Canis lupus familiaris: one gene and its partner. The main gene of each other region encodes a partner of the protein of the gene in region 2 in a complex. Links are inferred from orthologs where the notes say so. Each region holds a gene or a part of one and is shown on either strand. Other genes may lie near its edges.

Region 1 (3,067 bases), on a different chromosome or scaffold from region 2:
AGAGAGAGGTGAGGCAAAGGTGGGAAAATGTTAGCTTCTTGTCAAATGGGGATGGTGGTGGGGATTGTTACATACGTATTTGTTATATAACTTTTTGAATGTGTGAAATCTGTCATAATTTAAATTTTTGACTAAAATTAAGAACACTGAGGGGCCCCTGGGTGGCTCAGTTGGTTAAGCGTCTGTCTTCAGCTCAGGTCACGGTTCCAGGGTCGTGGGATGGAGCCCCCAGCAGGCTCCCTGCTCAGTGGGGAGTCGGCTTCTCCCTTTCTCTTCTCCTCCCCCCTGCTCATGGTCTCTCTCTCTCTCACTTGCTCTCTATCTCAAATAAATAAAATATTTTTTTTAATTTTTTTTTATTTTATTTATTTATGATAGTCACGGAGAGAGAGAGAGAGAGAGAGGCAGAGACATAGGCAGAGAGAAGCAGGCTCCATGCACCGGGAGCCCGATGTGGGATTCGATCCCGGGTCTCCAGGATCGCGCCCTGGGCCAAAGGCAGGCGCCAAACCGCTGCGCCACCCAGGGATCCCAAATAAAATATTTTAAAAAATAAATAAAATTAAAAATACTGGGCAGAAATGTACATCAACACTAGCTGATTTAGGATGTTGAAGACAACGGAATCGGTCTATAGTTCCTACATGTTCCACCTCTGACATTTCTATTTCAAAACACGACACGTTTGCTTGAATGATTTTGAAGTAGTAACCAAACACATTGTTGGGAGACAACAGGGAGGAGAAGGGAGAAAATGTAGACCCGACGAGCCTGCCCTCCGCCTGATCCACCTGCCCACCCACCTCTGGAAGGTGAAGCAGAAGCCGTAAGGTAGGCACGAAAAGTGATTCCGGGTCACGAGGCCTCCGAGTCAAGCCGCGCTGTCAATCAGCTCTGCGCTGGGCAGGGCTCTTTGAGGCCAGGTGATGTCTCACTCACCTACCTGGAGACGACCCCAGGTAGCCTCTGAGGGACGGCTCAAGCAAGCTCACACGCACGCAGGTTCCAGAACCAGGAGGAAGCCCCGGGGCGGGGGTGGGGGCTGGCTCCCCGGCGCCCCGCCCGCCACTGCCGCGGAAGCGAACGGGGTTCCGTTCACCCGGAACCGCCCGCGGGGCCACAGGAAGAGGCGGGGCTGGCCGGAAACCGTAAAAGGGGGCACAGCTTTCGTGCCTCCCTGGTGTTCCGGCGGCGCTGTCTGGACCCTTCTCTTCCCGGGCTGCCGGACCTAGCATGGTCGACGACGCGGGTGCTGCTGAAGTTTTGGGGGACGAATGGAGGCCCGCCTGGTCCCTGGACAGGCTGCTCCGGGCACCACTTCCACCACCGCGGATTCGCACCCGGCCTTGGTGGTTTCCAGTGCAGGAGCTGAGAGACCCACTGGTGTTTTACCTGGAGGCGTGGCTGGCTGACGCCATCTTCGGTGAGAGACCCCGCGGAGCAACTCTACGGTCTCTGCCGGATTTGCAGGCCACGTTAGACTCCACGATGCCGACCTTCCTTCCCCGGCCAACATTCCCTTCAAACCTAGCTCCTACTCACCTTCGACCATGTTTCTTTTTTTTAAGGATTTTATTTATTTATTCATGAGACACACACACACACACACACACACACACACACACACAGAGGCAGAGGGAGAAGCAGGCTCCATGCAGGGAGCCCGACGTGGGACTCGATCCCCGGATCGAGGATCACGCCCTGGGCCAAAGGCAGGCGCCAAACCGCTGAGCCACCCGGGCTGCCCCCCGACCATGTTTCCCTTCAGAGTCTCTCTTTTCCTGTTTAGGCCCAGACCGAGCCATAATTCCAGAAATAGAGTGGATGAGCCAAGTCCTGCTGACGGTGGACGTAGTTAACTCTGGAGACTTAGTTGAAATCAGTATCTTCGGATGGCCCCGTGTACAAAATCGGGTGAAGAGCGTGCTCCTGAGCCTGGCATCTTGGCACCGGAAACATCGTGCCAGAGGTGAGGGTCTCTAAAAGCCTGCATGTGGAGGGAGCCCCCGGTGAACCACCTGGCGGTACCAGGCTTTCTTCCAACCTTTATTACTTAACAAAACTTTTTGCAGTTTCCTAACTGCAGTGTTCTATATGCAACCCCTGGGCATCCCTTTGTAGAGAGGAGTCCAAGTAGGACCTTGGGAAAGTAAACGGAAATTGAATACATTCAGGCCTGTCGTCACTGCCCATGCCCCCTCAGCTTGGTTTCACCACTATTTCCAGATTGTTCAGAGCCCCCACCTGAGAAGTGATGCTGCTAGCATCTTCCCTCCTCCCCTACTCCCCTCAGTGATGGAGTAGTTTGGAACAGAAAGCATTTTTCCTTATCCAGCTGAGAAGATGAAACAACTTGAGGAGTTCTTGAAGACTGGTGGGACAGGTCCCCAAACTCCTGAGCATCCTGTTGCATAAGTATTTTCAGGAGCATTGTGAGAAGCAGCCCTACTTCTACTAAAGTTCAAGAGAAGCAAGTATCCATAAGTCTCTGCATTCTTTTTTTTTTTCCTGTGTCTTGATGGGTAATGCTTTGATTATTTTGGTGCAAAAGTCTGTTTGTAGTGTCATTCTAGTAAAGAAGTGAATTTCCTTTTTGTCCAAGGGCATAAAGATCTTTACTCACTTAAAATTAAGCAAAAGATTGATTCTGTTCCTTCATGTCTTGATGTGAGGGGTGGGTAAAAGGCTGATAGGTAGTGGTTTTATTTTTGTCTTCTCTTCTACCATTTTTATAAAAAAGATTTTATTTATTTATTCATGAGAGACACACAGAGATACATATAGGCAGAGGGAGAAGCAGGCCCCCTGCACAGAGCCCAGTGTGGGACTGGATCCCAGGACCCCGGGCTCACTGCCTGAGCCAAAGGCAGACGCTCAACCACTGAGCCACCCAGGCATCCGTGCTTCTACCATTTTGAATCTGGTAACCCATATATGATTTTTTTTTTTTTTTTTTTTTTTTAACCCATATATGATTTTATGGCCAGAGTCAGGCCCTCAAGCACAGGCCCCTGAACTTGCATTTCCTTCTTTCTTTTTTTTAAGATTTTATTTATCGATTGGAGAC
Region 2 (4,317 bases):
CACTGGCCTCCTTGCCCATTCCTCCAACAGACCAAGGCCAGTCCTGCCCCAGGGCCTTTGCACAGGCTGTGCGCCTCTGCTCGGAATCCCCTTCCCCACTCTCTCTGGGATGGCAGGACCTCCTTATCTTCCACATCTCCCTGTGAACACCACTTCTTCCAAGAAGCCCTTCCTGACTAGCTTAGCTCAGTATCTGTATCACTCCATCCCATTATCTTCTGTTTCCTTTATAGTGGTTACGATTTGTGATCTGCTTTCTTATCTCTCTCCTCGCCCTGGGGGTGCCCTGTCCAAGGAGCTAGCCACTAGTCAAGTGTGGCTATTTAAATTTAATCAAGTTAAAAATTCAGTTCCTGGGGCACCTGGGGAGCTTAGTCAGTTAAGCATCTGCCTTCGGCTCAGGTCATGATCTCAGGGTCTGGCTTCTCCCTCTCACCTCTGCTTGTGCTCTCTTTCCCTTGCTCTTTCTCGAATAAATAAGTAAAATCTTAAAAAAAAAAAAAGTCAGTCTTTACAAGTTCTCAACAGCCACAAGCAGCCAGTGGGTGTCATATTGGGTACTGTTGGTATAGAACATTCCCATCGTTGCGGAAGGTTCTAGAAGACCAGCACCACACCAGCGCATATACTCCTCATGAGCAGGGGCTCCCGTTACCTATCCCTCAATGATGAGTGGCCAAAGAAACCCTTCCTTTAAATATGGAATGTCTAACTTTGGCAGCGAGGTGTGCACACATGAGGAAAAACGCTCCTGGAGAAGCTGGCCTGCACGGGTGACCTTGCTCGCCCCAAGGAAGCAGAAGCAAGTGGAGGAGACCGTGTCCCCAAGCCCGGCTCCTGGGGGCTGCCCGGGGTGGCTCACCGTGTGGTACATGCTGTCCACCTGCGCTGCCAGGTGAGGGGATAACCTGTGGGGGGGGGGGGGAAGCAACCGAAGAAGAGCCCTCAAGACCCCTCCGCAGAACTAGAGCCAGAACTGCCCCACCCAGGCCTGGCCCCTGCGCACCCCCCTCCAAGGAGCCACCCCAAGGCGGCATCAGAGATGCCGTTTCCCTGCAATGTTTTTAAACCTATAATCGGTGCAAAAAAATTCATGCTAAACAACACAAGGACAACCAGAAAATTCAAATGAAGGCCCGGATTGGTAATGGTGCTTCTTTCCTTTTGCTTCAGGCTCCAATAAGGCTCTTTGTTACCAAGTTCCGTCATTTGGACCAAGGGCTGCTGGGCCACCCAGAGACCAGGTGGGAGTCTCTCCCCCTCCACGTGGGCCCCTGAGAGCCACCCTCACCTGGGGAACTGCTCTCGGAGCTGACCCAGGACACTGTGGTAGTTCAGTTCAGGAGCCTGGGAAGGTCAGAGGAGGCTGTATAGATGAACCCCCGCCTCCCGCTCTCCCACCCTCAGGCCACATTTCCAATCAGCCCCCCAGAGGGTGGGCTGGGACCCGCCTAAAACCTGCAGGGAGGGGCACCTGGGGGGCTCAGTCAGGAGAGCATCGTGATCTCGGGATCCAGCCCCACGTGGGCTCCCTGCTCAGCGGGGAGTCAGCTTCTCTCTCTGCCCCTCCTCCCACTTGTGCTCTCTGCTCTCTTTCAAATAAATAAAATCGTAAAAAGCAAAAACCCAAACCTGAAGGGAATTTGCTTTCTCTGGTTACTTAAGTCCCCACGGAGTTTCTCCCGTTTTGCCTCTTGGCCTAAAGTCTCAAATACAGACTCTCTGGAGAGCCCTCGAGAGAGAAAGGTCGCCCACCCCGGCCTCAACTACTGTAAAGGGTCCTCTCTGGAGGAGGAGGGGCTTCTGTTCCCAAAGTATTAACCAGAGACGACGTAGGCATGTGTTTGATCACCTGCGTGATGAGAAGCAGGTTCAATTTAAAAAGAAAGTGGCCTGGCACCTGTCAGCAGGTATGATGGGCCAGCGGCCCCAGCCAAAGGCCTGGCCACCCGCCCGTGTCCCTCCCTCAGGAGCAGGAGAGTGAGGTCTGAGCTGAGCCCCCTTCCCTCGCAGTTAATATTCTCCTCACCAAAGTTCCTGGGGGCCTCCTCATCCTTGGAGGGTGCTGCTGGCGGCTGAGACGGTCCCAAGACGTCATCTTCGGGCAGTAGCCAAAGGACTTTAGCCTGGAACTCCCAAGGGGAGATGGCAGGTCCCTGAGGGCAGAAGGCCGGGCAGCCAGGGGCAGAACCGACCCCACCCCACCCTTGGCCTCCCCTGCAGGCCCCAGGCCTGGATCCCAAGCCCCCTCCCTGATTTCCGGCCCCCCACTGCATGCCCTATACCCTTTGTTCATTTGTCAAACTCTGCTGCCTCCACCAGCCCCAACTCATAGGAGCGTCATTCCAGGAGGTGGACGTTGACGGTGCCAAACACTTACACTCCCTGCCAGGAGCTGTCACCGCTGGGGACCCCGGGGAAGGACGCTAAAACTCAGCCTCAGTGTTGAGACAACTTCCCAGAGCCTGGGTAAACATCATTGGGAAAGGGTTTTGAGGGATGAGTAAGAGTCGGCCAGGTGAACTAGGAGGGATTTCTCAGACAGGAGGAAAGAGACCTCTCTCCACCCCAGGCACTCCTCCGGCCCTAAGCCCCTTCTTTGCTTGGCTTCTGGCCCTCAGCGGCGTCCGGGCCTCCTCCCCGGGCCCGAGGGCGCGGAGGTCCTCCCGGAGGCCCGCCCGCCTACTCCCCCCTCCCCCGCCAGGATAGAGGCCCAGTACCCCGGGACGAAACTGCGGGGGGTCAACCAAGTTCAGGCCCGGAGAGAACGCCCCTCCGCGTCTCCCCTCCTCCCGGGGCCCTTTGACCCGGCCCGCCCCGCCCCGGCCCCGCCCAGGCCCGCCCAGGCCCCGCCCCCGCCCGCCCCGGCCCCGCCCCGCCCGCCGCCACCTGCACCACGAGGACGATCAATGAAGGAGCAGCCGCTGCACGTGGGCTCGGACTCCGCGGGCGGCCGCTGCAGGCTCTGGCCAATCGCGAGGCCGCCTGCCCACGTGGGCCGCGGCCGCTCGCGCTGATTGGTCGGCTCCCCCCAGCCGCCGGCCCGGCTGTCAATCAGCGCTCCCGGCGCCTCGGCTTAACCCTTGCGCTACAGCTGTGGGGAAGGGCGGCGTGCAGAGCCGCGGGCGGTTTGGGGTCCCGGCGGGGGCGAGGATATTTAAGGAGGGCGTGGGGCTTGGGGTCACAGGGCGCAACCCCGGAAGGGGCTGGGCGGTGTGAGGTTGCATTGTTTGGTGAAAAGCCTGATCAGTTTTGGCGACGCCCCGGAGTGGTTTAGGGTGAGAGGTGGTGCTGGGAGAGGGGACCCGAATCCTTCCCCTTCATCCCAATTCCCGGATAGGGGCTGATAACATTTTCCTCGATATGAATGACGGGCAGTGCAAGCGAAGCTTCAAGCCCCCTTAATGGGGAAAACAGCTCCCCTTCATCCAGCACCCAGTCCTGGGCTCTGAATTTTTGTCGTGAATTTTTCCCAACTGTTCCCCAAGCCCAGGATCTGAGAACCAAAAGCAGGGGCTGCAGAGGCCTTGAAACTGGTACAACTTTTCCAGCTTCAAGGCCAGGGTAGGAAGGGGTGGTGGTGGGCATTCCAGGCCTGGGATGATAGAAAGATAAGGGATGAGGGCGGTAGGGGGGTGTCTAGGGATTCTAGAGTTGTTCTCTGGCCCGGTTTGCAATGCTTACTGGAGGTGTGCTGTGGTCCTGCCCACCCCAGGACCTTTGCACTAACCATTTCCTCCTCCACGGGGACTAGTCTCCCCCTGACAGTCATGACCGTGCTCCCTCCTTGAGCAGTCTACCCCGAGGTCACCACCTCCCCAGGTCTCCCCTCACATCTCTTTTAAAAATGAACTTCCAACACCACCCCCACCCTCCCTTTATTTCATTTTTCTCCAAATGTGGTTTGAGTTGGCACTAATCTCGTGGTAATCTCAGTGGCTGTAAGTCCTGCTGTGTTCAAAATTCAGGTAACTGCTGATGGGATTCTCAGACATTCTCGCACGGGCCACGGGGCGCCCGCCTGCCCCTGCCCGGGTGGGTATGCTGGCTTGGGATCCAGGGGAGTGCGAGAACACTCCGCTGGCCCCTCTTCTGTGCTTTGTCTGGGGTAGGGGCACCCTGGGGTTCAGATCTCGGGATGCACAGTCCCCCCTGGAGGTTGTAATGTAAACACACAACTTGGGTTTTGTGGCTGGCGTATGGAGGGGAAGTGAGGGCTGCCATGTGTGAGCCGCAAAAAAGGTTTTCGCCCATGATCCCTCCACTGGCCCTTAATTGAAGTGTATTTTATTTATGGGCCAGCCTGCTAATTGCCTC

What was found. The genes of interacting proteins can lie anywhere in the genome.
Region 1: the proteins of TLE6 (region 2) and OOEP are in contact, whole or in part, in a cryo-EM structure (PDB 8H94), measured with the Mus musculus proteins. The link is inferred for Canis lupus familiaris from reciprocal best matches to the Homo sapiens genes TLE6 and OOEP. Residues at the interface, in NP_444484.1 of Mus musculus: Trp256, Ser258, Phe304, Thr305, Arg306, His307, Val318, Asn320, Val322, Asn323, Glu332, Ser333, Asn354, Ser355, Arg356, Leu373, Ala374, Ala375, Pro376, Ser377, Leu378; in NP_080756.1 of Mus musculus: Arg32, Pro33, Trp34, Trp35, Pro37, Gln39, Glu40, Glu67, Trp70, Met71, Gln73, Gln94, Pro95.

What each region holds. Positions count from the first base shown.
Region 1 is NC_049233.1:35,686,878-35,689,944, reverse strand, and holds OOEP (oocyte-expressed protein), read left to right. Parts: upstream 1-1,179; 5' UTR 1,180-1,233; coding exon 1,234-1,423; intron 1,424-1,789; coding exon 1,790-1,969; intron 1,970-2,335; coding exon 2,336-2,415; 3' UTR 2,416-2,474; downstream 2,475-3,067. UniProt on the Homo sapiens protein: Component of the subcortical maternal complex (SCMC), a multiprotein complex that plays a key role in early embryonic development.
Region 2 is NC_049241.1:56,637,401-56,641,717, forward strand, and holds the start of TLE6 (transducin-like enhancer protein 6), read right to left. Parts: upstream 2,913-4,317; 5' UTR 2,890-2,912; intron 2,835-2,889; exon of another isoform or gene 2,721-2,834; intron 2,683-2,720; exon of another isoform or gene 2,558-2,682; intron 2,466-2,557; 5' UTR 2,381-2,465; intron 2,157-2,380; exon of another isoform or gene 2,127-2,156; 5' UTR 2,099-2,126; coding exon 2,030-2,098; intron 1,348-2,029; coding exon 1,292-1,347; intron 909-1,291; coding exon 863-908; intron 1-862. UniProt on the Homo sapiens protein: Component of the subcortical maternal complex (SCMC), a multiprotein complex that plays a key role in early embryonic development.